Notamacropus eugenii: one gene and its partners. Each later gene encodes a partner of the first gene's protein in a complex. Links are inferred from orthologs where the notes say so. Each region holds a gene or a part of one and is shown on either strand. Other genes may lie near its edges. The genes, in order: ORC2, ORC4, LRWD1 and ORC5.

The links.
Region 2: the proteins of ORC2 (region 1) and ORC4 are in contact, whole or in part, in a cryo-EM structure (PDB 7JPP), measured with the Homo sapiens proteins. The link is inferred for Notamacropus eugenii from reciprocal best matches to the Homo sapiens genes ORC2 and ORC4. Residues at the interface, in NP_006181.1 of Homo sapiens: Asp501, Asp504, Tyr508, Ser512, Gln518, Glu522, Val554; in NP_001177808.1 of Homo sapiens: Lys168, Asn169, Arg195, Glu200, Leu201, Lys204, Arg205.
Region 3: the proteins of ORC2 (region 1) and LRWD1 are in contact, whole or in part, in a crystal structure (PDB 8SIU), measured with the Rattus norvegicus proteins. The link is inferred for Notamacropus eugenii from reciprocal best matches to the Homo sapiens genes ORC2 and LRWD1. Residues at the interface, in NP_001012003.1 of Rattus norvegicus: Val11, Pro12, Ser13, Val14, Gln15, Phe16, Val17, Gly18, Asp19, Val22, Leu23, Ser24, His25, Ile26, Leu27, Asp28; in XP_038945348.1 of Rattus norvegicus: Pro262, Leu263, His264, Phe265, Leu266, Gln267, Cys268, Ser270, Asn273, Ser274, Pro275, Leu320, Val321, Leu322, His323, Lys324, Tyr325, Lys326, Leu367, Val369, Gly372, Phe373, Cys374, Pro596, Pro598, Val599, Ala600, Val605, Ile630.
Region 4: the proteins of ORC2 (region 1) and ORC5 are in contact, whole or in part, in a cryo-EM structure (PDB 7JPO), measured with the Homo sapiens proteins. The link is inferred for Notamacropus eugenii from reciprocal best matches to the Homo sapiens genes ORC2 and ORC5. Residues at the interface, in NP_006181.1 of Homo sapiens: Val240, Glu241, Tyr243, Phe244, Glu245, Ser248, Asp396, Gln398, Arg401, Gly402, Glu403, His426, Asn428, Ala429, Pro430, Leu431, Met432, Trp433, Asp434, His435, Gln438, Trp445; in NP_002544.1 of Homo sapiens: Asp324, Lys325, Phe328, Leu329, Leu359, Asp360, Arg361, Ala364, Tyr367, Ser368, Ala378, Asn379, Phe381, Ser382, Gln383, Thr385, Ser386, Thr389, Asp400, Gln401, Leu402, Asp403, Tyr407.

Annotation. Positions count from the first base shown.
Region 1 is NC_092877.1:297,133,127-297,140,798, forward strand, and holds the start of ORC2 (origin recognition complex subunit 2), read right to left. Parts: upstream 3,012-7,672; 5' UTR 2,709-3,011; intron 2,590-2,708; exon of another isoform or gene 2,201-2,589; 5' UTR 2,064-2,200; intron 1,371-2,063; 5' UTR 1,328-1,370; coding exon 1,264-1,327; intron 752-1,263; coding exon 608-751; intron 1-607. UniProt on the Homo sapiens protein: Component of the origin recognition complex (ORC) that binds origins of replication. DNA-binding is ATP-dependent. The specific DNA sequences that define origins of replication have not been identified yet.
Region 2 is NC_092876.1:282,812,571-282,820,075, forward strand, and holds the start of ORC4 (origin recognition complex subunit 4), read left to right. Parts: upstream 1-4,493; 5' UTR 4,494-4,724; exon of another isoform or gene 4,725-5,028; intron 5,029-7,505. UniProt on the Homo sapiens protein: Component of the origin recognition complex (ORC) that binds origins of replication. DNA-binding is ATP-dependent. The specific DNA sequences that define origins of replication have not been identified yet.
Region 3 is NC_092873.1:51,644,193-51,651,635, forward strand, and holds the start of LRWD1 (leucine-rich repeat and WD repeat-containing protein 1), read right to left. Parts: upstream 3,012-7,443; 5' UTR 2,743-3,011; coding exon 2,663-2,742; intron 1,568-2,662; coding exon 1,333-1,567; intron 1-1,332. Other genes in the region: ALKBH4 (alpha-ketoglutarate-dependent dioxygenase alkB homolog 4), read left to right, coding at 3,063-3,197, 4,537-4,734, 5,325-5,939. UniProt on the Homo sapiens protein: Required for G1/S transition. Recruits and stabilizes the origin recognition complex (ORC) onto chromatin during G1 to establish pre-replication complex (preRC) and to heterochromatic sites in post-replicated cells.
Region 4 is NC_092874.1:151,805,232-151,812,964, reverse strand, and holds the start of ORC5 (origin recognition complex subunit 5), read right to left. Parts: upstream 3,004-7,733; 5' UTR 2,779-3,003; coding exon 2,707-2,778; intron 1,409-2,706; exon of another isoform or gene 1,282-1,408; intron 150-1,281; exon of another isoform or gene 81-149; coding exon of another isoform or gene 72-80; intron 1-71. UniProt on the Homo sapiens protein: Component of the origin recognition complex (ORC) that binds origins of replication. DNA-binding is ATP-dependent. The specific DNA sequences that define origins of replication have not been identified yet.

The DNA of each region.
Region 1 (7,672 bases):
CTCAACAGATTAGAATATTGTTTTTAAAAAACTAACTGAGATCATCAATTCAACACCAATTTGTACCTTTTTTTTTTCTGTTTAACTATCAAGAGAACTCAATGTTGAGTTTTCAACCAAAGGTCACATGAGGGACCAGGTCAAAGTACCATTGGAGCTACAAATCCATCTTCATTCATGGAAAAACAATAAACAATACAGGCTTTATTGACAGCGACAGGACTTGTACCTATGATTTCTTTGGGTATAGGGAAATCCTCAGTAAGCAAGATCCCTCTACAAATGCAGGACAGCATTTCTCTGCAAGAGAAAGTCTCAGAGTTGCCTGGAGTACCAAGAGGTAAATTGATTTGTTTGTTTATAAGGTAAGCCTTAAAGAAATATGATCAATATTTTTGAGGCAAGACTTGAACCCAGTTCTTTTTGACTTCAATGCTGGCTCTCTCTATCCAGTCTCAGTAGACACTACATGCTGTCTACTAACAGGAAGTCAGAAACACAATGTTCATTTATAAGCAACATTTTGCTACTTATCCTACAGCGTGGTAGTATTTTTACATATTGACAATTAGCAGAGATTTGAAGTTTTTTTTTTTTCAACAAATACCTTGAGGGTCTGTTCCTAGAATATCCACATAGTTCTCATCTTTTAAATCCTCCTGGTCATCTTCATTTAGGTCACTTTCCTGCTTCTTCATTAGTTTCTTTACATTCACTGAGAGTTGACCTCGATCCTTTCGAAATTTAGCCCCTGCAGTTATAACCAAAGAGCAAAAAATAACCTAAACTGAAAATCCTCTGAATGTTAAATTAGAAAAATGGTTTTCTTTTGGCATTATTTTTGCATTTCCTAAATTTTTTAAAGATGGAAAGGAAGAATAAAACTTTATCTGTTTAAAGAGTGTATATACTTTTCTAGAACTGAGTTAACGTCAACCTTCACAAATACTTCAAATTAGATATTTAAATTTCAAACATAAGCCTCAACCTCAACTGATAAAATTCACATAATTCTGTAACCAGAATTAACTGTTGCTACTAAGCAATCTCACAAGTTTCATAGAGTTTTGCTAATTTGGTTTCTTAGTTAACAGCATTTAAAAAAGGAAAACTCAGAAATAAAGATTTTTATACACAATCTTAGTATGTTAGATCAAATATCTCTGATATTTAAAGAAACAAAATATTTTCATCTATCAAAAGGTGAAACAAGAGTCAAACATTAAACAAGCATTTTTCCAAATACAATTAGACATTCTGTACCTTCTTCTTTATCAAGAATGTGATTAAGAACATCATCATCCCCTACAAATTGAACTTCCAGCATCCTGACTTCTTGAAGTAGCTTCAAATGGTTCACCACTATCAACCTTAACAGAAATAATAAAGCAATCATTCATAAGGGCCAAAAAGATTTATGCCAAGTACATTTAGGCAAATTTAAAATTTATGGTACATCGAGATAACCTCTAAAATACAATCTTTATCAGAAGTCTGGTAACTGGTTACCAGCAGTTACTAGCCTGAATCAGGCTAGTAAAGTTACATATTTTAATAATTTTTATAATTATAATTTAATAATTTTTAATTCATTTGTACAATTTACATTAAAAAGATTTTTCCCTTTTGAAAAAGGACTTTACTTAAAAGCAGGGAAAGAAAAGGGAAAGAGGGGAATAAGCATTTACATAGCACCTACTGTGGACCAGGAGCTGTGCCACACAGCTTTTTACAAATAGTAACTCCTCTGATGCTCACAACAAGCAACCTTGTGAGGCAAGTATCATCTCCATTTTACAGCTGTGCCAACTGAACCAAACAGATGCTAACTGACTTGCCATGGGTCACAGAGCTAGTGCCAGGGTGAGGCCCCAGGACTCCAGCCCCAGCGTTCTGCCCACTCTTCCTTATCTGTTCGTTAGCTGCAATGAACACTACCAGATAACGTCACACCCTAATTCTACGTGATAAATCAATCAAGTATCCGTCGGATAGAAGCATCCTAACAGCTCCATGCCCCGTGTACTATTGTCCCAGGTGTGAGCAAAAGAATTCCCACTGACCTCTGCCCCAATCCACCCGCGCAGGCAAAAGGATCTTTTCAGTCTTCACAATTCTGGATTGTCAGTAGCGCTGCCAATGAAGGCGTCTGAGGGTCAGGGCGGAGGATGGAATTTTAACGACACTCGCTTACCACCTTCTATGCGATAAGCATGCAAGGGTGAAAAAAGAGAAGATCCCGCCCTTAAAAAGAAGGCTCGGACGAGTCAGGAGACATCAATAACCAAAGTCAAAAGGAGGGGGATTATCCCTCGGGAATAACGAGTAACCTGGAAAGGAGCTGTCCGGACTCCAACCACGCGAATTCACCAAACGCTTTACCTGAAACAATGTTAGCCCCATTTTACAGGAAGGAGAAACTGAGGCACAAGAAGAAGGAAGACTTGCGGCCAAGCCAAACCCCTCCACCACAAGCCTCTCCAGCTCCCAGCATCTCCGGGGCGGGGCCCCCGCCTCCCGCGGCGGGAGCCCGGAGCCCCACGCGTGCGGCCGGAGCCCAGGGAGGCTCCCAAGGGGAGGAGGAAGCGCGTACTCGGAAACCCGCCCATCCTGGCCCGAACCTCCGGCCTCGGCACGGGCCCCGCAGGCCGGCTGGGCCGGGCCCGGCCCGCCCGGCCTCCCAGGCCCGCCACCGCTCCCACGCTCACCCGACCGACAGCCCGAGACTAAAGAGGGTGAAGAAACGATGCTAACTCAACCTCGACGGCCCGGCAACGGAAGGCAGACGCAGACGGGCAACTAACGCCACAGGCCCGGACAGATGGCTGAGGGGACAAGGAAGGGGATCCTCCCGACACACACCGAATCTCCCGCCCTGCTCAAAGGGGCAGCCCCTGAAGCTGCCAATGGGAAGCTGAAGCGGCGGAGAGCGATGGGCCAGCGAGCCAATCAGCGTCCCCTTGCCGTGCCCCGCCTAGAAACAGCCGGAGAAATGGAGACTCTCCAGGAAACAACAATTACCCCTCCCTTCTTGGGCAATTTCCGGTTCCGGGATGGCGTTGGTGTACCCGCAGGGCAAACCGCTTCGTGATTGGCTAAGGAGGAGAAGAGAGGGGCGGAACAGAGAGAGCGGAAGGTGTAAAGCGATTCCCCCCCCCCCGCCCCCCCCCTCCCCTGCCCCACACCAAACCACGTGGTAGATCTCGATGTTTGGACTCGTGCAAAGCAGCCTAATTTTTATGCTGGCCTCGAAGCAGGCTTTCCCGTTGTACCTAAAAGGGGCTTAATAAACTTTTGTGGAGTTGTGGAGCATCAAGGGCAGCACAAGTGGATCCAGCTGAGTGAGACTCCTCTTCCTCTGAGTTGACTGTGGTGGTCTTCCAGCCGAGCGGGATGTTGTGAAGTTCTGTTCATCTGGTTTGTGTGTGTCTTTGTGGGTAGACTCCCAAGTATTTTGTACCTGCCAAGAGTTATTTTAAATTGAATTTCTCTTTCTTCTGAGTTTTATTGGTAATATACAGAAATGCTGATTATTTATGGGGGTTCAACTTATAATCTGCAAATTTTTCTGAAGTTCCTAATTGTTTCAATTAATTTTTAGTGGATACTGTGGTTTTCTAAGTAAACCAACATATCATTTGAAAAAACTATAACTTTTCTGAAGTAGCATGACTTGCACTTTATCAAATAGGAGTGGTGATAAATGGACATTCTTGCTTTAGCTCTGATCTTATTGGCAAGGCTTCTCATTTATCCCCATTATGAGTAACTCTGTATCTTTGTCTTGGAAATATAATACTTAATTATAATAAGAAAAAATTATTCTTGCTTTTTAGTCATTTTTAAAAAATATAAGAAACGTCATTTTCTCAGAAGCTTTTTATGTATCTTGATAAAATCATGATTTTAAAATTGTTAATATAGTATCTTGTTTCGGTACTTTTATTGATATAGAACCAACCTGGCATTATTGGTATATAGACTTGGTCAAAGTGTAAAACCTTTTTGATATGTTGCTATGGTCTCTTTGCCAATATTTGAATTAAAATTTTTGTGTCATTCATTAAAGATACTGATCTTTAGTTTCTTTTTTCCATATTAACTTTTTCTAGTTAGGTATTATGACATATTTGTGTCATAAGAGGAATTTAGTAAATCCCATCTGTTCCTGTTTTTGTAAGCAGTTTATGCAATATTGGAACTAATCTTCTTTGAAAATTTGATAGGATTCATTTACAAATCCATTTGTTTCTGGACCTTTTTTATTCTTTGGGAGTTTATTTATGGCTCATTCAGTCTCATTTTCTGAGATTAGATTAAATTCTCTGTTTCTTGTTCTGTTAACATGAGAATTTATATTTTTGTCTACATTCATTTAAGTGGTTTTGTTGGCATGTTGTTGTCATTTTCAATCATGTCTGACTCTTCATGACTCCGTTTGGGGTTTTCTTGGTAGAGATACTGGAATGGTTTGCCATTTTCTTCTCCAGTTCATTTTACATGTGAGGAAACTAAGGGAAATAGAGTTAAGTGACTTGCCCAGGGTCACACAGCTTATGTCTGAGGCCAGATTTGAATTCAGGAAGATGAGTCTGTCATTCTATCCAATGCACCACATAGCTAGCATATCACTGGGCAAAATGGTTTCTAACAATTTTTTTTTTTAATTTCTACTCTTCTTTCATGGTAAATTTGTCTTTTTCATTTTGGATGTTAATAACTTAGTCTTCCTTTTTTTGAAAAATCAAATTAGATAATGGTTTACCTACATTATTTTAATAGTCTATTAATTCAATGATTTTTTGCTTTCAATTTGATTAATATCTTTGTTTTGTGTTTAATTTAGGTATTTTAATTTGTTGTGTTTCTGGTTGTTAGGTTACATGCCAGATTCATGGATCTGTTCTTTCTTTTGTTGATGAAAGAATTTAGAGTTATAAATTTTTCAAATTCATGTGTGTGTGTGTGTGTGTGTGTGTGTGTGTGTGTGTGTGTGTGGTTTCTATACTCTTTGACTTGTTCACATGAAACTGAGGTTCAGGTAATATCTGTTTCCCCCAACTTGTTTACCTCCTTATTTGCATATTCTTCTATTTGAGCACCCAGAATATGTAAAACAGAAATTTTTTCTCCCATTTCTTCTCTAGTGTATTTCTTTTCCCCTACATTTTCTTTTTTCTCTTACGATAATCAAAACATAACAAAACAACTCCCTAAACCTTTATCTTATTTAACTCCTGCTATAACCCTTGATGATTTAGGTTCTGAGATGACATGTTTCCTCACCCTATATAATCTGTTCCAATTGCTCAAGCGAATTTACCTTTTTATATTCCTCTTGACCTATACTGTTTTATATTCCTCTTCACTTGCACTTCAAACACAGTACACAGCACTTCTATGGTCTTTTCATTAAATGTTTAGAAGTTTTCTATTTCTTTAAAGATCCATTTTCTCCCTTGTAGGATTATTTCAGTTTTTCTGGGTAAGTGTAATGCTAATGAGATTGAAGATCTTTCCCACTCATTAATGGGCCTACCTCTTAAGGGGAATTTGATTAGGGGAGATTTGTATGAAGGCTTATACTTTTTGTTAAGGAGCACTGGTTCTCAAGGGTTGTGATGCACTCCAGCTCCAAAAAAGTGTACATATACTATGAGGAGAGGTTTTGTTTTGGGGCTTATTCATTGAAAGTGTTTGCTTGGCCAGACCAGACTCAGGGCAGACACTAAAGAGCGCCCCCCAGCTTTGAAAATCTAGATGTTGGTGCTTCTGTCTCTGGTAACTATGTATGTATGGTCAGACAGTTATCTGTCTAGTGACCTGTGATGTATGTATTACTTATGGTCAGACAGTTGGAAGCCCTGTCTGTTGGTTGATCTTTGTTTCTCTGTATTTTCTCCAAAATTCAGGGTGCTGACTTTTTCCCCTGAACTAAGTAAATGATGTATGTGCTTGATTAAAGTGATTGTTGACCCCTCAAAAGTTGCTTTCCTTTTAGAAATGCAGATCTAAGAACCTGTACAAGCCCTTCTGTATGTCAGGGTCCTTGATAATATTATAAGTTATTCTTGGTTTTAAGTCTATGGTGGATTTTTTTGGTCTTTTTTTCCTTTTGAGAGTATCATTCCAAACTCTCCTATCTTTTAACTGATAGGAACCAAATCTTGTGTTGTCCCAACTGTGGATCCTCTGTACTTGAATTCTGTCTTTCTGGCTGCTTTCAGCAATTTTTCCTTCACCTGGAAGCTTTGGATTCTGGCTATGATATTCCTAACAGTTTTCATCTGGGAGTTCCTTTCAAGAATTCTTTGATAGATACTTTCCATTTTTATAAGACTGGAGCATTTAACCCGCTGATTTCTCAAAATGTGGTATCCAGGCCCCTAACACACATAGCGATGAGATTTTTCCTTTACTAAAAAAGAAATGGAAGCCACCTTCATACCATCACATTAGTATCATTTTTATCATTTCCATTGACAAATTATTGTCTCTACTTTTTCTTTGACCCAGTCATTCTTCAAGATTATATTAGTCTCTACTTAAATTTAAATCCTTTCTTCAAATTTTCCTTATTGATTAACACTTTCATTTCATTGTAGTCTGTATTAGATGTGCTTAATATTTCATTCAGCTTTTTTCCATTTGTTTATTTTTTAGAGGCAGCTAAGTTGTACAGTGGATGGAGTGCTATACTTGGAATCAAAAAGACCTCTTTCTAATCCATTATGCTTCCTACATTTTATGAGTTTGTTTTTCTTTGATCCTGTTTTGACCCTTGAAGCAAGTTACATTCTGAAGGGACAGCAGTTCCGTTTCTCCAATTAAGATATAAGCACTTGATTATCATTTAGTTTTTTTAAATTGCTTGAACCTATTTTGCCTTTCTAGGGTTCTCTCATCTCCTGCATTTACATTTCAAAAATTCTATCTAGCTTTGTTTTTTTTTTCCCACCAGGAATGCTTTGCTGTCATCTACTCTATTGAAGATCCATTTTCCTCCCTGTAGGATTATGTTCCTCTTTGTAAGATGTTATTCTTCATCCCAAGTCTTTTTCTCTTGCCTTGTGTTTTACTCTATTCCAAGATTTCCTTTCTTTTATAGTAATGGTTGCATAATCCTATGTGATCCTGACAGTTTTTCTTTGGTGTCTGGGATCTTCCTGACTTCTTACAGTATTTTTTTTTATCTGAAAATTCTGGAGTTTGACAGTTAAAATCCTGAGAGTTAAATTTAAGATTTACCTTAAGCATGGACCTATGGATTCACTTTGTGTTCAAGTTCCAATAGTTTAAGGTGGTTAAAAAATTATAATACAAAATTTTATCGATGTCTTTTGTTTTCATACCATTTAACTATATCTCTCTTCTTACCTCTTCCAGAAATCCACATCTCATAATAAAGAATAAAAAATGGAATAAAGAAAAACACATCCTACAAAAATGAAACAACATATGAAGAAAGTCAGATGTAATTTGTAATGGTCCACACCCAGGGTTGCTCACCTCTGCAGAAAAGAAAGTATCCTATCTCTTCTTTGGGGCTAAGCTGGTCATCGTCCTTTCATAGCACTCCATTCCAGTCATTTTGTTATTGTCGTTACTGCTGTTATTCTATCCATTTACATCATTGTAAATACTTCCCTCTGCAGGTGTTCATAGAAGTAAA
Region 2 (7,505 bases), on another chromosome or scaffold:
TAAAACAACTGCTACTTTGCATACCTGGGGCAGGACGTCTTTTTACTCCAATGACCCATCACTGTATTCTTCACCTTATAAAATTAAAGTCAGCTAAATCAGTTTCAAATCAAAACATGCTAGTATGTTTTTTCTAAGTTGGATCAACGATCACTATCTATTACAATCTTATCATCTATCAAAAAAATTCTTTAAGTCTATTCTATGCTTTTATTCAGATGGACAGTAGTCTTTTTCTATGATTAAGTAATATTACTGTATGATTTATATACAGAATCCAGCTGTTAAGGAAAGACTGGAAGGAGGGGAGGATGAAAGCTAGAAAAAGAAATTATTTGAATAAAAAGCTAGGGAGAAAGAGGACGGAGAGAAGCACACCTAAAAAGATAGCATTCTAGTTCCTGAGTTGTATTTATTATTGCAAAAAGTCAGTCATGGATCCTTAACACAATGGTGGAAAAAAAAATGACTGCCTGATTAAAATACTGGGCGAAAAGAGCAAATTTGGAAAGAAACAACCTGGTTCTCACAAGAAAGTGAGAAAGCATTTGCTTATGGATGAATTCAATTTATTATCTAGAAAACTGATGCCAAATTACTTAAATTAAGATAGAAATGTACTGTTTATTGTCATAAAACTATAAGTTTGATTTTTACTTTAACCTTCTCATAGAAAATGCATAGAAAAACCTAATTTCCTGGTTTTCGTACAGACCAAACCTCCAAAACATGATTTTAAAGGAAAACTGAAAAAGTTATACAAACTGAAATCAGGCAGCATGATCTTGTGGTAAGGCCATTTGCTGAAAGTGAGAAGCCCTGATTTTGCCACTGGAAAGCAGTATGACCTTGGACTGCTTACTTAATCATTTTGGGCCTCAGTGGATATATCTTTAAATCGGAGCTGCACAGAGAACTATGTTAGGGTTAAATTATTTCTGAAGTCTTTGCAAGCGAAAAAAAAAAAAAGACCAAAAAACTTTGTTCTTTGAGTCAGAAGGGTTGGATTCGAGTCCTATTATTAGTTACATGACCTTGGTTAAGTGAGTTAGTTTCTCTGCATCTCAGTTTCCTCCTCTGTAAAATGGGAATAATAATATTGGTACTCTCTCACAATGTTGTCCGGAAAGTTCTTGGTAAACCTTAAAGCACCATATGAATATGAGTTATCAGTATTATATTCCTATGACTCTAACAGCACAACTATTATTCCCAAATAAACATGATAAAACCACTACCAATTATATTTTCGAATACTAGTTAATCTTCAATTTGGAAAGTTTAGTATAAACAGCCCACAAAGGGTTACTTAGATAGAAATCTATATAAGGTACTGGGGGAGGTTTTCAGAGGCACAGGGCAAATAAAAGGTATTGTACTCAAGACACAAATTTAAGAAGTTTTACTTAGCTGCCCACTGGGCAACTATTTTGAACCACCCCAGTTAGCTACTCAATTTTCTTCACTTTCAATTGATTCCTTCACTAAAGTGTCACCCTATGTCTCATAAGTTACAGGTTGCTCTGGTTCCATACAGAGGACAGAAAATAGACCTGAGATGATGTTGATCTTAGGGCAATAAACCTGAACATGGCACAGGTTTCTGCTTGCATATGAAGCACACCAATATCACTTCAAATAAAGACAAGAGAAGGACTACACTAATTTTGTAACAAGAGAACAGGAAATAGAATCATATGTTTATTTCAACAGCTTTTTTTCTTGCATGTAAACAACTACTCTTGCACAAGTTGTTAATTACAATTTTACAGAGCAAGTTTCTGCACATATGCATGACATATTAGAACACTAATAGGATCTCCTTTGACTTAGTCTAAAAATATAAGATTAAAATTAAAAATTGCTAGTTATATTTATTTCTCTAGTCACCTATTTATAATATTTATGTTACATATCATTCGAGATTTATTTTTCACCCATCTTTTCCAGGCTGATCAAATTGCTGTTTTCATATTGCTAGTCTGATCACAAAATTGCTGTTTTACAGAAGAATATTTTTTGCTGACATAAATTATGGGATCAGAGATACCAATGCATTTACAAAGAAAGGATTTGTGTGTGTATATGTACGTGTATATCCCTCTTCAAATAAAGGATAAAGAACATGCATGTATGAAACTGAATCCCATTTTCTAACTCAAGCCTTACCAAAAGGCCTACATACTAGCGTTCAGAAAAATACTTTCCAGCATTTGTAAAATGAAAGCACTCTCACAATTCCAAGGAAAACCAGTAAAGGAAGGTTACTAATAAAAATAGATAATAGCATTTTTTAATAAAAATAAAGGCTGAATAAGTTTTAAGCCTATATACGTATGCTATGTTTTTGTCTGACACCATGACTCCTGCACTTTGTGATTTCCTTGATTTTCAAAAGCATCTTTCAAAAATCTTTCTTTTATATGTAATAAGCAAATAGGTTCACTACCCCAAGAGATGAAAAATACATCGCAATTTACAAGAGTAAATAAATAATTCAGTTAAAACTGAAAGTGATACCCAATCCAGCAAACTATTGATGGAAAAGCTTGGCTTTCCTTGAAATCAAAATAACAAAAGTTTTCAAGTGGGGGTGACTTGTTTCTGCTAACTTAAAAGGAGTAGAATACCCAACTTAATTATACAGTAGTTATAATTCAAGCTTACTGAAAACAAATTCAATCAAAAATGAATGTGGGAAAAGAAAATACAGGTATTTTTTAAACTTTGCCTTTTGAGCATTAAACTTTATGTAGTGATATATGGAACCAATTAGATAAAAAGTGAAGGATAGTAGACAAACCATGCCCTACCACTTCTGTTAGTAAATATTTTCAATACTTTACAAGAGAAATCTATATCTCTGAGAAACAACCAAAAACTGAAATTTCAACCACAAAACCAAAAATACCAAGAAGCCTATTCCAAAACTGGAGTCAATATCCAAATTAGATACAGGGCCAAAAAGGGGAAAACTCACGTCTATAAATGGGCAAAGTAGTTCTAATACAATCCATATTATGACATTTCCCCACTCAGAATCAAAACCAGTGTAGGTTTTACTGGGCAAAGAGAAAAAAGGCTCTGCAATTGAATTTTTTTTAAAGTGACAGATCTAAAAACTCTCTCTCTCTCTCTCTCTCTCTCTCTCTCTCTCTCTCTCTCTCTCTCTCTCTCTCTTCTCCCCTCTCCCCTTCTCCCCCCCCTCCCCTGCCAGCCCCATTGCAGGAATGGGTTTGTTTTTCTGTCTTACCCCACAGAAGCAGAGACACAATAATCTGCCACATGAAGGGGAGAAATCACTTTTGCAAACAACAAATAAAAATAAAAGTATCCTTTTCCTGGCTAGCAAGAGGGAGATGGGAATCCCAGCACACACACACACTTTCTAGTCCATCCCCTTCTTCAGTCCCCCCCACCTCCCAGCACCACCACCTACGCCCCCCACTTCACCCCCCGATCTCCACTGCGTATGTGGTTTGGTGCTACTGTTGCCCCGAAGTGAAAGTCAGAGCCAGAGGGAGGCAATGAAGCCCCCACAGACACACTTACCTTTCCTGCCCCCCACTTTTGAGTCCCTTCCCTGGAGCTGTGGAGGATGACACAAAGGGTAATAAAGGGGGGGAGTGGAGGAGGAGGAGGAGGAGAGAGGAGGAGGAGGAGGAGAGCAGAAGGAGGAGGAGGAGAGCAGGAGTGGAGGAGGAGGAGGAGGAGAGCTGGAAGTGGCTGCTCCTGGGTGTAGTGAGATGTCTCCAGCCAGGGCCAAGCAGCAGCAGCAGCAGGAGCTTTAGCAGCAGCAGCAGCTTGGGCAGCAGCAGCAGCAGCAGCAGCTTTAGCAGCAGCTTTAGCAGCAGCAGCACAGAAGGGGCTGTGTTGCTAAGAGGCTTTTGGTCTCTTTCTCTCCTCCTCTCACGGCCAAAGAGAGGGAGGTGGAGGGGGTTGAGCAGAGACAGGAGGGGGGGGCAGGAGTGGTAAGGGGGGGTTGGAAGAAGAAGAAGAAACTCTCCTTCTCTCTCAGGCTCAATTCCCCTCTCTGAGCTCAGGGGTGGAGGGTGGGGGAAGGAACTCAATCGCCTCCCCCCTTCGCAATTCAAGGTTGAAGTGGGGTAAAATTAGTGTCCTGTCCCTTTAAAAATAGAAATAAAAGGTGCCCCCCCTTAGCCTCTGCCTCTCTCTTCATCATCAGCTGCTGCTGCTGCTGGGGTCTCTCTGGTTTGGGGGGGAGGGGGGTTCTGTTAGAAGAGATGGGAGGTTCTCACTGCGCATGTCCCTCCCTGACGGGAGGCTGGTTGGTCGAGGGCAGGAGGAGGGGGAGGGGAGGAAATGAGATGGTTACCCAGAAGGCATCTCGGCGCCCGCGACCCGGAAGGTGTTGGAGGGAAGGACGGGGGTGAGGGATAACGGGGAAGGAGGCGGGGGCAGGGGGAGACTAGGAGGAGGAGGAGGAGGAGGAGGAGGAGAAGAAGGAGGAGGAAGTTGAATTCTTCAGCTTCCCCCTCCCACCTCCAGGAGAGCTGATGAGCGGAAGTGGGCGGGGAAGGAGTAGAGGGGTCACGTGTGATGAGAGAAAGGGGCGGGCAGTGGACTGGGTGGCCCTGGCGTGGAGCGGAGCATGCCGGGATCCATCGCGCCCTGGCGGTGGCAGGAGCCTAGTCTAAGCCGTCAGTCAGAGGAGAAGGGGGCACTGCCGCGGCCGCCTCGGGACGCGCCGTCTTCGTTCTCCGGTAAGGACCTAGGCAACCTGCGTAGGCATTTAATCTAGGGCCGAAGCAGGTTGCGATGGAGAGAGGGAGCGAGGCAGGCGCAGATTCCACCGCCCCTATGGTGATGGGAGAGCAGAAGAGGAAGGAAAAACGAGGAAAGCAGGCAGGCTGGCTAGGCCGGACGGACCCAGATAGGCCCCCCCACCCCCGATCCCAGCGCGGAGGCCCCGGCTCGCTGTCTGATGCGGAGGCTGCCAAGGTCGCGGCCAGACAGGCGCTCGTTGTGGCGGAGGAGCGGTGTTTTGAGAGGGAGATGGCGCTTCAGGTGAAGGTGCCGAGGCGGGCGGTAGGATGGACGGGGGTCCATCCTGGAACGGGGGAGGGGATGAGGGGGAGAAACTGTCTTGAAAGGACTGGCTGGGCAACCTGACGCAGATGTGTGCATTTTTTCCTGAGGTGCAGTCCAAGTGTTGATTCTCTGCGCCATTCTGTCGTTACCCTTGGTCGCCCCCACCCTCTCCATCTGCTCCCCGTTGGGGGAGGGGGCCGGCGCGGACGCCTCGCGTCTCCCCTGGCCTGCTGTTCGCCGAGCCTCCACTCACTCCTACGTCTTCCCTTCCGAAGCCACGGATGAGCTTGTGTGGCCGTAATGACGGTGAATAACTGAGACTTAGCGTTTTAAGGACATCTAGGGATAGATTAGGAAGAAGGGATGCTCTTGGCATCATTAAATATTTAAGGAAAGAGAAGGTTGGTGTTGAGAATCGTAAAAAAAAATTAATGGGGAGGGGGTTTGGTTCGATTTCTTTGGATTTTAAGCTAAATTTGGTCCCCTACCCAAATGAAATGCTGAAAATTTCATCTGTGAGGGAGGAGGAAGGTTAATATTAAGTACTTGATCTAAAGGTCACGTTTAATCTGAGTGCTGGAAGCTAATGGGGTTGAATAGGCAGGGGAGTTTGCATAAATAAAGCTTCTTTTGCAGAACTGCATAGTGCTGTTTTTTTCTCCGTTTCTAAAAGACATCTGATGGAGATCTTTAGGAAAAATCTTTTTTTAGGGTACTTATTTTTAAAAGATTAACATCAGTGTTTCAGGAGCTATTTCTCCTAAACAAAAAATGTAACATGAATTCTTTCTTATGAAACAACATCTTTTACAATGCGTTACAGATACCATTTAGGAGTCCATCTATTGTTACAGAAACTATTTTCAGAGTTTGATTTCTTCTATATTGTTTTGTGCATCAAAACCTTAATTCACTAACACTCAAAGTTCATCCCTTTGTAGAAGGTTACAGACTGAGTTATAACACAGTTTATTTGATTTAAAGTGTCCATGAGATTTATGTCTGAAGCTAAAAAACTATAGGTGGAGGACTAGAAAATATTCATCTATATGAGATGTTAAACAGCAGAGAATTTTATTGGGAGAACTGGGGAATCCTTTCACTTGAAGATATTCGAAAAGAGACCTTTGGAAATAGAGGCATACTCAAAGTGAATAACTTTGATTGAAAGGATGCTTATTTTTCAGATGTTCTACTTGTGTACACCATTTGGAAAGGTAAAACTGGTGTCCAAATCTTATCATGTAAAATATACACACACCCCTACCCACCCTTCTGTAAACATTAAGGATTGCCTGTCAGCTCCAGAATAAAATATAAAATCCTCTGGTGATCTAAGTAAACCCTTTATAACCTTGCTCTTTTCCCCATATTCTGTGGTCAATGACACTGGCCTCCTTTCTGTACCTCCCACAAAGCATTCAGTCTCCATGATGCTGAGCATTTTTGTAGGCTATCCTCTGTACTTGGAATTATCTTCTTTTTTATATCAGTCCCTATCTTCCCTTCGAATCTCATCTCAAATCTCACCTTCCAAAAGAAACCTCTCCTGATGCTCTCTAAGGCCTCATACCTTCCCCCTGGTTAGTTATCTCTTAAATTGTCCTGTAAAAGTTTTATTTGTACATAGTTACATGTAAGTTCCACATGTCCTGTTTCCCCCCACCACCCAGCACTTTGGGAACAAAGGCTAGGTTTTGTTTTTTTTATTCCTCTCTTTGTATCTCAAGTGCTTATTACCACTTTGCATGGTTCGTAGTAAGCTCTTAACAGATGCTTGTTGAACAACAGATAAAATCTCAGCACTGAATTGTAATGGAAAATGTGCATTTTCAATGATGCTGAACTTCATTGTTGCAAAATTTTAATGCCAGTTTTCTTATTGATGGTATTTGGCTGCAGATGGTAGAAGGGCAACCTTGAAAGAATCAAAAGTTAGGATAAGACAGAGAAAGGAAGGAAAGTTTTATTTAGCTCTTACAATATGGGAGAGGAAGGTACCTGGTTTTTAGAGTATGATTTGAAGTCCAAAAAGTCAAGGATAGGACTAGGAGGACAAAGAAGGCAAGTTGTTGTGGGCTTTTCCAAAACAATGAAACCTCCAGGAGGAACTCAGCACTGGGAGGAGATTGAGCAGGTGACAGGGGTGGTTCTTTAGAAGGAGTTCTTAGGCACTCAGGCAAGTTCCAAGGTAGAAAAGACATGATTATAAAGTCCAGAAAGTGGAGGAAAAAATTCATCCTTGGATCCAAAATAACTTGCTCCGTAACCATGTCACAGTGTTGATTCCTATTGATTACATGTGAATCTTGGGCAAAGTTAATAAGTAAAGGGTATGTTGATGGCCATGAAACATTTTTTTGTTTGTTTGTTTACTATTTAGTTCCTTTGTAAAAAAAAACCAAACAGCAGCTTCCATTCTTATGTTTTCCAGCAGAGCCACCTTTTTACTT
Region 3 (7,443 bases), on another chromosome or scaffold:
CTGGGGGTGAATACAGACAAGCTCAGGAACAAGCAATCTTTGCCACCAATCCAGACCTCAAGCTACCAAGTCCCAATGTCAGAGGTAAATGTCCCCTGAGAGACCAGCTGATTAAATTCTCCTCACCTCCCTAGCTCCCATCAGTTTTACACGGGAGCAAACTGAGCCCCAGATATCTTAAATAACTTCCTTACAGCAAGTCAGTGGCAGAGACGGATCTCCTGAGGCCCAGGCTAGTTTGGTCCCCTTCCCACTGGACCATGATGCTTTGCCACAGGCACCACTTGTAAGCTCCCTGAGCTCTGGGTTCTCCTCCAGCCTTGGCACAGAGGGCCCCTTCCCAGCTCACGTTCCCTCTTCTGCCAGGCCTGGCTTCTAGATGAGACTACAAGCTTCCCATTCCTGGAATGTTCTTCCTTTTTACCAAATCCCTCTCTTCCTTCAACACTCAGCTCAACTCCCACCTTTTACAAGACACCTTTCCTGACCCCCAGCCCTCCCCCAGAGCCCTCCTTCCTAATTACTTTGTGTTTACTGTTTACTTATTCTGAATATTCCTTCACAGATGTGTTATCCCTCTATGAATTCCATGTGCTTTGAGGGCAGGGCCTGTTTGGTCTTCCTGGTGGCTGTGCATCCCTTACAGTCCCCAGCACAGGATCCTAAACCTGGAGCTAAAGGGGCCTCTTGAGGACCATCTAGTCAATCAGCAAACACTCACTAAGCACCTACTATATTCGAGGTACCATGTTAATTGCTGGGGATAGAGAGAAAAACAAAAGATGGTCTTTGTAAGTGTAATGGGGAGACAACACACACAACTGTGCACAAACATGTGACGTACAAACAGTTATACCTACGTATACACGTATTATAGTACAGGTGTGCTTGTATTTAATGTACATGCATTTATGTATACACATGGTTACATAAAATTAAACAATATAATACACATGACACAAGACATGTGTAACACACATGTGCTATAAACAGACAAATGCATGACATCACACATATGCTTGTATATCACATTATGTATGTTTTTAAAGAGACATGGCTACACACAGGCTAAATAAGAAATAATCAACAGAGAGAAAGCACTGGATTAAGAAATATCCTGTTCAATTAGATGAGAAAATGAGAATTTCTGCACTTCTAACATGAGACCAGTAAGGTCATAAGGTGTCAGAGGTGGAATCTGAACTCAGGTTCTCCTACTGGATTCTGTGCCTGTTTCCATCCATCCCTCACTCTTCCCATAATCCACAGCACCGCACACTTAGTAGACACTTCCTAAAGAAATGCCGGTGGATGACCCCTGCCCCAGCTCACCGTCAGGTATAAGTTGTCCTCGAAATCCACCTCCTCCAGAGCTGTAAACTGCTGCAGGGGGGTGACATCCTCCAGCTGGTTGTTGGAGCACTTGAGGACCTGCAGACAGGGCAGGTCCAGGCCCTCAGGCACCTTCTCCAGCAGGTTATCTGACAGATCCAGCTCCTTCAGCTGCTTCATTCGATTGAGGAGTTTGAGGTCCAGGTCTTTTGTCTGAAGCTGAAGGTTTGACAAACTGTGGTGGGGAAAAGGGGGGAGGGGGTGGAGGGTCTAAAGGGCTGGGCTCCCCCCAGTCTGGTGAAAACTGGGGGGCTTTCTTCTCTGGGTGTCTGGTCTCCCCCACCACAGGGTGAGCTTCCTGAGGGCAGGGTCTGTCCTTAGCATGCTTTGCCCTCTCCTTGACTGAGGGGGAAGCAGGGGGAAGGATGAGAGGGGACATAGTGCTTGGGGCACACAGGGACAAGGGTCAAAAGTAGTTTTGAACCCCTTCATTCAAGGAAGGGAGTTGTGTCGTCCCTTCTGCCCAGGTCACTCTTCTGGCTCTCCATAACAAGTGAGGGACAGTTCGGTTCCACTGGGGCAGGAGGAGGGTTGGAGCACCAGTCACAGCCCTGGGCAGGAAGGGGGGCAGGGACTCCAGCAGCCTGCATAATACGAGCAGCAGCAGGGGTACCACGGAAAGTACAGTCACACGGAGGGGAGCCGGGCCCGGCACCAGGGCGGGCACTAGCGGGCAGGAGGCCCTGGCACCAGAACGGGCACCAGCGGGTGGACACCAAGGGGCAGGGGGCCCCGGCTCCAGGGTGGCCACTAGCGGGCAGGGGCCCTATCCCTGACCCTCAGGCCCGGCTTGAGCTGCGCCAGGCACAGGACCCCGCAGCGAAGACCGACGTGGGCACGCAGAGAAGCACACCGGGCAGCTGGCGGGGGCACGGAGGGGGCGGGGGTCATCGCGGTGGCCACCTTAGCACCTGTGGCTCCGGGGCTTGGGGGCGTGGCGGCGAGGGTGCGGACACCCGCACAGGCAGAAGCAGCTGGAGGGCAGTGTGCGTACGCACGCGCACAACGCACCTCGCGGACACGCACGCGCACAACGCACCTCGCGGACACGCACGCGCACGCAGTCACCAAGGAGCCAGAGGGGGACACAGAGACAGAAGCGCCGCAGGGACGCACGCACACTGGCCCCCAAAGGCACCATGCGGAGGAACACGGGCGCGCACGCGCACACTCGCACCACGCTAACGCACGCACACGCGTGTCCTCCCTCCCCCGCGCACACATACATATACGCGCACGCGCGCGCGCGCACGTCCCCGCCCAGCCTTACTCGAGCTTCTTGATCCTGCCGAGCCGGTCGGACTTGGGGTAGCCCCTCTGCAGTAGCAGCGGGGTTTTGAGCCGGCCCATGGCCGCCGGCCTTCGCAGGCGCACGCTGCCTCCCCGCCGCGAGGCCCTGCACGCCGAGGCTGGCCGCCACCTGGGGCTGTCTCCACGAGCTCACCCGGGGCCCGGACGGAGGCGACGCTAAAGCTCGGAGCGCGGCCTCGGCCTCTGCCGGCGGTTCGAGCTGGAGAGGTTCGCGCGGCGCCGGCCGGAAAAGGGCCCGGCCGAGCAGGATCCCACGTGTCCTGGCCCCGCGGGACTACCTCTCCCAGCGGCCCCCGCGGCTCGCGCCTGCGCACACGCCCCGCTGAGGCTGCCCGCCCGGCGGCGTTCCGGGCACCGGCATGGCGGCTGCGGGCGGCGGGGGCCGGAGCGGCTGCGGGGCGCGGCCTCGAGGCTGCGGCTGCAAAGGAGTCCGGACCTGCCTGCTGTGCGAGCGGGAGCGAGGCGGCGGCGTGCCCGGAGCCCTGCCCCCACAGGTGGGAGTCGGTGGGGAGGGGCGCCTGGGCCTGGGCGGGCACCCCCCTACTTGTGTGGCTTCGGGCGGGGCTCTTCACCCCAGGGGCTTCGTGGGGGCGGAGACGTCGTCAGCTCCATTTCACAGACGGGCAGACCGAGGCCGAGAGCCCTGAAATTGGCGGCCGCCGCCAGCCCGGCTTGGGGCCCTTGTCCTTCCTGCGGTGCTCCGTCTCCGCTCTGCCGCCCCGATGAGCGGCGTGGGACGGGCGGCCCTGCCCATTCTAGTCCCCACTGCCGGTGGGAGCCGTCCTCGGGCGCTGCTGGGCCCCGCCGGACGGCCCCCCTCCTCCAAGGCCGCCCCCGTGACCAGGCTGCACCGTGTGGTGGGACGGGCACGCGTCTGTGCGGTCCGGGTCAGCGAGGATGGGATTCCTGCGGGGCCTCTCGGGGGAGTCTTGGGAGGGCCGATGGTTGTGTTCGTCCTTCCTTCTAAGAGGACCGTGACATCAAGATGGTGACATGACTTGCAGCTGACTTTGGTCTGAGGGAGGGAGGGCTGCGCAGGTCACCAGCCTCACTTTCTCCTCCTGAGCCATCTGGGTCCAGTGGCCTGATGTTGGTCCGGAGGACTGGAGATGGCCCAGGATGCACTGGGAGACCCTGGCCCTTTCAGGCTAAGGTCTTCTAGCATTCTCACTTCTACACCCATTCAGTGAATAGGCTTCTTTAAGTTACTCAAGGGATGGCCTCTTTAATCCAAAAAAACCAAATCAAACTGGGAGGGGAAGACCCTCAGGATTCCTGCCTAAAAGAGAAACAGTTATGGGCCTGGGCTGGAAGAAAGAATGGGGGAGGAGGGAAAAGAAGAATCAGTGAAACTGGGGGCCCCGGGGCTGCAGGGAACACTGAGTCAGGAGGGGCTGGTGGCTGGGGGGCAGTGATAGAGGGGGAGCAGGCAATGGGCAGAGGAGGAGAGACTTGGATATGCTAGAACCCAGGAACCGGGGAGAGAGAAATAGATTGTTAAACTTCCAGCTTCTCAGGAAAAAGAACATGGGATTGAGATTATCTACCCAGGGATGGCTGGGAACAGAGCAGTGAATTCAAATCCAGCCTCAGACACTAGCTCTGTGAGCCTGGGCAAGCCACTTCACCTGTCTGCCTCAGTTTCTTCTTCTGTAAAATGGGTATCATAATAGCACTTCCCTCCCAAGGTAAGGATCAAATGAGGTATAAGGTGCTTAATGAGTGCTTGTTTCCTTCCTTCCCTGGTGAGGACAGAAGATGATCATGGAGACTTGACCCCTGAAAATGAAACTTGCTCATTCCAGGACCTTGCTTCTGTCTTTTCCTCTGCAGAAGACAGCCCATTTCATCTACTGTTCAGAAACGGGTTTGGCTGTAGGAACAGAGAAATCAGAATTTGCTGGCTGGGCTTTTCCTTTCCCAGGAGTATCTCTGATAAAAAACTTTGTTAGTGCTGAGGAGGAAGCTGAACTGGTTCGGTTAATGGATCAAGATGACTGGAAACTTTCACAGTCTGGAAGAAGGAAACAGGTACAGCCTATGCATCACCATTTGCAGAATTGTTTCTGTGGCAAATGGAACCAGCCACAGGTGGTTGATGGAAGTTGCTATCCCCTTCTGCCGTTAGTGTTCATCTTGCTGTGTTATAGCACTTCCCAGCTGTGTTGTGTACCGATAACAACGCCCTCCCCTGAAGTCTTCTTCAGCAGAAGCCCAAGCTCAGGTGGATCCTACCAAGCCAGAAAGGTGTCCAGCTAGAAACACCATTTGTCTGGGGAATCAGCTCACTGGAGGGCTCATCAAGTGGCAATTATTTTGGCCAGAGCAGCCCCCAGAGACCATCTCCCAAGGTGTGCAGGGAGCTCAAGCCCCATAGCACAGATAGGGGAGCACTGGTGGCCCCCAGATACAGGGCTCAGTGGCTGTCATTGAACCATGGCTAGTTTAGGCCTACAGACATTTGAGTTAGAAATCCATTCTACCTGGATATCTTTGTTCAACTCCTTAGGCACTTACTTCAGATTTGTTTGATAAGGAAATTGCTGGCTGTGAAATTTTTTTTTTAAGTGAAAATCACCATTCCTTTTTCCTTGCCCTCTTCTGTTTTCCCCTTTCTATAGGACTATGGCCCCAGAGTCAATTTTAGGAAACAGAAGCTGAAACCTGGCAGCTTTGATGGCCTGCCCAGCTTCAGTCGGGAAATTGTGCAGAGGATGGGGGTTCACCCCATCCTGGAGAGGTTCCTTCCAGTTGAACAGTGTAACTTGGACTACCACCCTGAACGAGGCTCTGCAATCGACCCCCACTTGGATGACTCCTGGCTCTGGGGAGAGCGGCTAGTCAGCCTCAATCTGCTCTCACCAACAGTCCTATCTATGTCTCGGGATTCAGATGAGAGACTTCAGTTACTCTCTGTGTCCCAGCAGGGAACAGGGAACTCCTTGCCCAATGACACAAAGATGGGAGACCCAGAGGAGGGTCAGAGCACCTGGAGATCTGTTCCGTGTGACCTTGTGGAAGTGGCCATTCACTTACCCGCCAGGTCCCTGCTCGTGTTGTTTGGGGCTGCCCGCTATCAGTGGAAACATGCCATCCACCGCCAGCACATTGAAAGCCACCGAATCTGTGCCACCTTCCGAGAACTGTCAGCTGAGTTCTGTCCTGGAGGAAAGCAGGAAGAACTAGGGCAGGAACTCCTGGAAATAGCTCTGTCATTCCAAGGAAAACCTGTGTGACAGTTCTAGAGAAAGGGAGCCAGTACCCAGATTTGTCAAGAAATGAGTCCAGGACCCAACAGCGCTACTGATCCTGAAAACACACAGTTTTAAGAAAAGCACACTTGAAACCCGGAAGCCAAACGTGGCACCATCGAGTCCTGCTCCATTGTCAGAGCAGTTTGGGGAATTCTCACCTTTCATTGTTTTTGTTCTGGGGGAAAAGTAAGGCTGAGGGCCTTGAGGGTCTGTGCTGGGGAAGTCTGTCCCACTGAGGCTGCAGCTGCCCAAGAGCAGCCAGGCTGCCGGGAGCTCACAGCACACCCTTGTCCCAACTCAGCTGAGAAGATCTGATCCTGTTCTTGGTGGACCTTGGCCTATGAATGTTTCCTTTAGTTAAAAAGGCCCCTAACTAATTATATCTACCTCAACCAAATCAATGTAAGACTAGTGACATCATTCTAAATATACACAACATTCCATGAAAAGATGATTTATGTCATTAAATGTCTATTTTTTTAAGTTCTAAGATGGCGATAGAAGTCTGAACTGCCTGACCTCAGTCATTTGAATGACAGATTTGCTGCTGGTGCAATGCCCCTAGTCTGAGACCACACCCATCAGCATGGGCTGGGCAGCCTTCCCTTGGGCAGGGGTTGGGAGAGGCCTACCTAGGGTTCAGAAGAATCCTTATACAAGACCCAACAAAAGGAATGCCCTGGTTATGAAAAGCTTTCACTAGAGGGCAGAGCCCACGTGCCTGGGCAGAGTTTCTTGTTAGGAGATGTGGACGTTCTCACATTGCTGTAGGACAGTATTAGTAATGCTCCTATGTGCCAGATGGTACCACCCATGCCACCCTCTGCACACAAGAAGGTGGCTGGAACCAGTTTGATTTTCACTGCTTAACAGTGAGGATGTCTGCCCAGCAGAGAAACTGGAAGTTAATAATGGGGCTCAGACCTAACTTCTTTCTGGGGACAAGCCATGGTGAGGCCTGCCGAACTCCATGCAAGCCCAACCCCCTGGCTGCCCTAGGATGCCGAACTCTGAGGAGGTAGCCCTCCAGAATTCCTCGGGTTCTAGAAACCCAAAGTGGCTGGGACATCACTGGGTTGTGTCCTTCTGTCCACTTCAGTTTTAATTTAACATGGGCATCTGGGGAGCAAGCACATACTGGGTATCAGTACATTCTCATACCAGAAGGCTGTCACATCTAATCACGTACCATGTTTCTATAGATTTGTTGGGTTTAACATACCCATTTTCCAAGTTGGTAGTTATATTTTTATGAACTCAAACTGCAATAAATAATACAAAATTCTATATTGAAAAAGAATTTTAGAATTGAGAGATACCTTAAAGGTCACTCATTCCAATGCCCTCACTTAACCAGGTAGGGAGATTTCATCCCCAGACAAATGTAAGGTCCCCCAACTAATCCACAGCAGAGCTGGAATTACAGCCAACAGTTTATAAAGAGCTCTCTCCATTAGTTTATCTCTACTACTTCCTCGTGGCTTCT
Region 4 (7,733 bases), on another chromosome or scaffold:
AAGTTGGCACCTGAGCTGAACTTTAAAAGAAATTAAGTAGCCTAAAATGTAGAGGTGAGGAGGGCACGTACCCTGAGCATATGGGATAGCTTGTGCAAGGCCCGAGAGATGGGAAATGAAATGCTGATTGCGAGAAACAGCAGGACCACTTGGGCTAGAACAAATATATGGGAAGTGAAGTGATATATAAAGAGGTTAGAAAGGTCTGCCGTGACTACCCAAGATAATTAATTCCAAAGAGGCACAGTAAAACTGTCTCAAAACTGATCTACCATGCCAAATCTTGACTGAACAGTAAAACATGGCTGGCTGCCTTTGGCCCCCACTTTGATATACTTTTCCACGCCATATGTCTCCTGGGTCTATCCAGTCACATGTTGCCCTACTAAACTACTCTGCCTCTTATTTTTCTTTTATTCTCATCCTCCACTAAGGAAGAAAGGCACGTCCAGGTCCTCTGACATCACCATTAGTTGAAATGGTGACAAGGTTATCAAATACTTATCATATATAACTTTACTATGCACTTCCTATGTAATTCAGTTAGTATCCTAGCTGAATGAGAACCATAGGAGTAATGACATATCTAAGCACTACAACATGAACTCCTCAAGGACAGGGACCTTTTTGGGGATTTTTGCTTTGTTTTGCCTGATTCCTCATCAGGGCTTTTTTTAACTCCTAAGCCAATACACTGGTTTCCTTTAAGTTCCAACTAAAATCCTGCCTTCTCCAGGAAGTCTTCTCTACTCCCTCTTAATTCTAGTGATTTCCCTCTTTTAATTATTTCCTATTTATTTGGCCTCTTTCTGCATCCCCTGCACGTAGCACAATGCCTGGCACATACTTAATAAATGTTTACTGAATGAATGAACTCAAGTTTTCTCTATCCATTATGCGAAATGACTCTTTACACATATCATGCCTCTGGTATATTAGCTCTGTGACCCTGGGCAAGCTGGAATACATCTATAGGATGGTGGTATGAGTAGTGAGGACAGTGAGATGATTATTGCATATAAGGAAAAGTTAAAGAAAACAGATATGACCAGACTAGAGAAAAGATAGGATGGTGGTCCACAAAATTATGAAAGGCTACCATGCAGAAGAACGACCAGACTTATTCTTCATGGCTCCACAGGACAGATCTTGGATCAATGGGTGGACATTAAAGATAATTGTTGTGTTTGTCCTTCGTTCTCAAAGAGGACCATGCCATCAAGATGATGACATGACTTGCAGTTGACTTTGAGTGAGGGAGGACTGTGCATGGTCACCAACCTCTCTTTCTTCTCCTCAGCCATCTGGATACAGTGGCCTGATATTCATCAGGACGACTGGAGATGGCCCAGGATGCAATGTGAGACCCTGGCCCTTTCAGGTTAAGGTCCTACAGCATTCTCACTTTCTTAAAGAGAGGAAAACTTTGTTTCAATACAAGGAAGAACAATTAGAGATATCCCCAAACAAAAACATTGTCTCAATACAAGAAAGAACAATTAGAGATATCCCAAAACAGAATGGGCTGCATTGTGATACAGTGAAGTACCTATTACCAGATGTTTAACTGAAAGTCAGAGAGGAAAGGGTACCTTGGAGAACCATCATTTTTGCAACTAAAGAAATAGAAGCCCCAAGATGCTAAATGAAGACCAGTGTTATCCCTGTTAGTGGCAGAGCAAAGAATGAAACCCAGGTCTCCTTGGCTCTCAGTCCAATAGTCTTTTCACTAAACCTAATTTAGTAGTGGATGTTATATAGAGGAAACTGCGTATATTGGGCCTTTAAGTGTCCTTTCCAAATATGACATTCCGTGAACCAAGTAAGATGACCACATTTTGAGTAACCACAACAAAATTCTAAGTAGAATATGATCTGAGATATTAGTATGCCTCACTTGGCATTATTATTTCCTTCGAAACCTGCTGGGGGCGGTAGAATGTTTCCAAACTCCCTAAGAGTCTTCTCCCTGGCCAATGGGCCTTTCACCTAACCGTTCTGGTAGGAAATGGTCAAACCAGCTGTCAGGGATTTTAGAGAGCAAACTCCTGGATTGCTAGGCATGAAGCCCAACTTCCCAACAACCTCACTGAAACCAGAACCAGCCAACACAGCACACCTCAAAAATACAGCCCTTACCAAGACCTCGCGTGTCGGGCAAGCTGCTTTGTGCTACACCCCCACAAACGAACTCAACCTTCCAAGGGGACTGTGGATAATGATAAACTGCCACTAGGGCTTCCAGCTCAGACCCTCCCTCCCTCAAGACATCAAAGTGCTCTGCCAAACTGCGGTGCCCCGCAGGCTCTTCATTTTGGGCCACTGGTCAGAAGTCAAGGCTTCTCAAAGTTCTACAAGTCTCTTTCCTTAGCCTAGTCCACCTGTGGCAAGACCCCGCAGAATCTGAGTATGTTCACTTTGGGGAGCTGGGGGGACGAGGAAGAGGACAGAGAGGGCTGTCTGCGGCCCCATCCGATCCTCAGTGACCCGGGACTTTGATCCCCACTTTTTTCTCCCATAGATGAGAACACGGAGGCTGCGAGGCCAAGCCACGAGCCCAGAGGCACAGAGCCGCTGGACGTCTCAGGCAAGACTCGAACTCGGGGCTCCGGACTCAAGGCCGGCGCTCCCCTCACTCCGCCGGCTGAGGAGGCAAAAGCGAGGTCTGAAAAGTAACGTTTAAGGAAGCCGTCTAAGGAACAGTACCTCTCCAAACAAGGCCGTCAAAGCAGACACCTGGGATTCGCGACAAAGCACCGCGTTCTCCAGAGGAAGCATCGCAGCGGAGGGGGGCGATGAACCCGCCACGGGGAGAAAAGAGCAGCGGACGCCTGGGGCGGCCTTTACCGCGCCCCCCCGCCAAAAGAAGAGCACGCGACACAGACGGGAACTCAACACCCAGCGAGCGCCCGCTAGACGCTTAAAAAGCCCCGGTCCAACCTCCCCGGGCTTCAGCAGCCTTTATGGCCGGACGCCAGCACGTCGGCGTCGTGACGTCACCGCGCCGGCGTCGGCGGTCGGCGTCCTTGGGGAGGGCGCGCGGGCCGGGAGCCGCTTCAGACGCCCCCTCCTGGGGTACCGGCAGCCTGTGCGGGCTTTTCTAGGTTCTCCTAAGACTGAGGAAAAAGGAGAGGGCCCAGATCCTCCCCCGGTCATCCGGAGGCTGAGCGGGAGGACAGCGAAGGGGGCCTGCTGGGGCTTCCCTTAGGTAGGCCTCGGGCCCGGGTGGCCACGCCCACGGCGCCGGGATGAAAAGAGGCGGGGCCGGCATCCTGCCGCGTGGAGCTGACGTTCGGGGTTTTTAGAGAGCTGGGCAAGGTTCGTGGTGCGCTCTGGTGCTCCCCAGGACATGCATGGTGACCCCGGCTTCTCTGACGGGCTAGGGTGAATACGCACACGTAGGAATTGTGTGTATGTGTAAATACAAATTACACGTGCATGTGTGTGTACATAAACACACAGCGCTTTTATATGTCGTCGACCTGAACGTTTGGTGACAAAACCAAACTTTTGGTTGTTCCCTTAAAGCTGGCAGTACGGGCCGAGAAGGGCATCTCTGACCGACTGATCCCACAATGCCCAGGTTTAAATCTGCTTTCGGACAAGCAGGGATGTCCGTGCCCCTCAGATTGGTGGTCTCTTCTATGTGTTTGACTATACCATGAGAAAGGAGTTTTCTTAATTGAATAGGTTATAAATAAGAGAGGTGACCGTTTCAACTGAAATGACTATCCAGCATATCTGTGTTTTCTTTACCATTAACGTGCTGTAACATAGTATATGTCCACAAAACATTAAGATATGGAAAAAGTCCCATTGTTCAAGATAGTGTCTTGCGTTAAGGGTCTCATAAAGAATGCTAAGTCAGCCCCATCTGGCCTTGTTGACATAAGAAGAGGTATTCTCTGAGTTTACCTAAGAGAACAAGGAGAATGTTAGATCCAGGCTCTTCTTCTGATTGATTAATTCAGGCTCTGGCCCATGTTAAAGTCCAAAAATGATATTAAATGTTATCAATATACAGCCCATATATGTGTGTACAGACACACCGCAAGGTACGAATGTATATACAGCATCCTGAAGAGTTAGTAAATTACATATAAAATTGTGTGTGTTTATGTATGTAACATGGTACCTGGCATATAGTTAGCAATTAATAAATGCATGTTTCATTTCTTTATTTTTAAATCTAATTTTATTATTTTCCCATTTAGCAGATCAGTACACAAACAATCAGGCCTTACCATGTACCTGGCACGAATGAGGGAGAAAACATGCTAAATACTACGGTTATACAAGATGTCTAGCTAATGGTAGCAATAACAGGATTTCACTGGGCCAGTCTCTAGCCTGGGAATGAAGAAACAGCAGGCCAGAGACAAAGTGCCAGTAATCAGGTAGCCATTTAATTAGTTTCATTCTGAGGAAGAGATTTGCAAATCCAGTTTTCCTCATCAGAATTCCACCTTGCTGCAGTGAAGACAGAGATTATATAAAAATCACCATGATAAAGGGGGGGGGGGGAGAATGTAGATTACAAACAATCATTTCTCATGTGGTTTTCCATAACAAGCCCACCAGTGGAAGACAATACTACGATTCTGGAGTCTGTAGGAGGATCTCAAGACTTTGGGGATCATTCCTTAGTAGGTCACAGAACCAGAGTTCTCTGAGGCTCAAACAGGTTCTACAGTGTTTGATTCCCTTCACTTTACGTACACAGGCACAAGAATGCCAGTGATTGTGAGCACTGTCAAGGTTTGATTGATCATTTCAAGCTGCATTGTGAGCATCTGACTCACAAGCTAGAAAAAACAATTCTGAAAAATCTGATCTGTGGGTATATTCATTATACTTATATCATTTAATAAGAAAATCATAATTCCATTCACAGTAGGTAAACGTTGGGGGAGGGGGGAAGCAATAGTAGTGTGGGGGGAAGGTGACTTGCAGAAGGTAGATGGGATTTGAACTTGATGGAGCACAAGGAAGCCAATACTGTACTAAATGGTGAGGAAAGAGCATTTTAGGCATGGGGAGAACCACCAGTGAAAAAAACAGGGAATTAATTGCCTCCCTTCTACCCCTGTCCAGTTACACAGACAAAAATTTTAAAAAGCAAGCAAAAAACAACCCTTGTCACATATTCATAGTCAAGCAATTGGCCAAAAATACTTCTCATTCTTCATTTTGAGCATCATTTCTCTGTCAAGAGATAGATGACTTACTAGGGCTGGTAAAATAACAATTTTATGGATCAAGATGAACAAAGTTGTTGGCATAATTTTTAAAAGACTAGCAGTAGTTCAGAGGAATCAAATTTGAATGACCATATTAAGTAGTTTAGCTTCACAGCTTGCCTGTAACAGATTGTGTGACCCAGAGTAAATCACTGAGCCTTAGCTTCTCCATCTGTAAAATGGAGGTGATAACACCTATCTCATAGGGGTGTGATGGGAATCAAATGAGAGAATATATGAAAAACTCTCCACAGTCCTTATAACACTATAAGTGATAGCTATCATTATCATTGGTGTAAGCATGCAAGGAAGACATTAAAGAGGCTATAAAACAGCTGAATCCAGAGATGAGATTACTAATCCCCCAAAAAAGAAGGTAGAGGAATAACTACATTTTATTTTTGAGGAAACTTGGCCCCAGCTGTGGTTTTTTCCATAATTGCTTTGGCTAAGAAAAATTAATTACTTAAAGGTCTCACATCATAGCAGAGAGTTAAATACCTTATTCCAAACCTAAGGCACTTTACTCTTTAACCCATTCTCAGTAAATTACATGAGCTTTGATTTGAATATAATTTGTTCTTTGCAATAACAAAATATTCTAATATTGATTTGTAGTGTGTTCTTGATTATATGGGCAAGTATTAGTATGCCTAAAATTATATTTAATCCACTACCATTGCTAAAACTCACTTCAGTAAGTATTTATTAAGCTCCTTTGTCAAACACCATGCTAGACACTGGAGATACAGGAAATGTGTGTTCGTCCTTTGTTGACAAAGAAGACCATGCCATCAGAGAAATAATGACATGACTTGTATTGACTTTGCTTTGAGTGAGGGAGGGCTGCGCAGGTCACCAGCCTCACTTCTCTTCCAGAGCCATCTGAATCCAGTGACCAGATATTCATCAGGATGACTGGAGGTGGCTCAGGATGAGGCAACTGAGGTTAAGTGACTTGCCCAAGGTCACACAGCTAGTGAGTGTCAAGTGTCTGAGATGAGATTTGAACTCAGGTCCTCCTGACCTCCTGCACTGGTGCTCTATCCACTGCACCACCTAGCTGCCCCAGAGATACAGGAGAGGGAGGGAACAAAAACAAAGAAATAGCCCCTGCTTTCTAGAAGCATTTATTCTATCTGAAGTCTTACTATCTAGGTCTTACTGATGATGAGTCATTGACATCAACTTTGTATGTATGACCATATATCCCCAAGAAATCAAAGAAAGGAAAAGCACCCATATGTATAAATATATTTTAGCTCTTTTAGTGGTAGCAAAAAATTGGAAGCTGAGAAGTTGCCCATCAATTGGGGAATGCCTAAACAACTTAAGGTATATGAATAGAATGGAATACTACTGTTTTGTAAGAAATGATGAAGGAGAAGATCTGTAGGAACTGATGTAAAGTGAAGTGAACAGAACCAGAACAATTTATATAATAACAACAATATTCTAAAGATAATCAACTTAGAAACTCAACACAGTGACCAACCATAATTCCAAAGGACTCCTGATGAGACATGCTCTCCACCTACAGAAAGCAAGAGATCTTTGTCTCAGTATAGATTGAAGCATGTTTTCTTTTTTTTGGAAGGGTATGAAGCATTGCTAATTGTGGATTTTGTTTTTCATAACTATACATATTTGTAATGACCTTTGTTTTTCCATGCCTTCTCAACAGGTAGAAGGGGAAATAAAAAAGAATTTGGAACTGAAAATAAAATAAATTGAATTTATTTTAATTTTAATTTATAATTAAATTTAATAATTTTAATAAATAAATTTAATAAAATAAAATTTAATTTATTTAATTTTAATAAAATTAAAAATTTAATTTTAAAAAAAAATAATGTTATGACTGACTGGGAGAAGGTGGAAGGCTGCTATAAATTCTGCTGCCCAGGAGGTTGAGACTCCTGACTGTCTTGAGCTTATGAAGTCTGAGGTACAGTAAGCTGAGCCATAGGGTTAAGTTTGGCATTAATATGGTGAGCTTTTCATTAATAGAAAGGGTTGCTGAAGGAGAGGTAAACTAGCCCAGATTGAAAACTGAACAGGTCAAAGTTCCTGTGCTAATCACAATTGGACTGGGCCTCTGCATGCCCCTGTATCTCCAAACTGGATATCTTAAAAAATTAAAAATAAAAAAAGAATATTATGAAATCAAGTCTTATTACTAACAATATTTTATAGCTATTAAACTCTTATTTGACACATTGTGTCAAAGTTATTTAATTTCTTACTGGTATCTATTAAGATGAGTGAAATCTATTTAGATTTAAATTGACAGTTTAGATGTATTAATGAACACCCCCCCAAAAATATAATCCTTTGGAAAAGCAAGTAATTTCTTCAGGAAGTTTGCACTTTTTTTTTTTTTTAAAGATTATACTCTCTTCAATATCCCTTTGATTATCTCTACAGCAGGTATTTCCAACTATTAGCTTTCCATGTTAGCCTTTCCCCACAGTCACTCAGCTAAGGACCTGC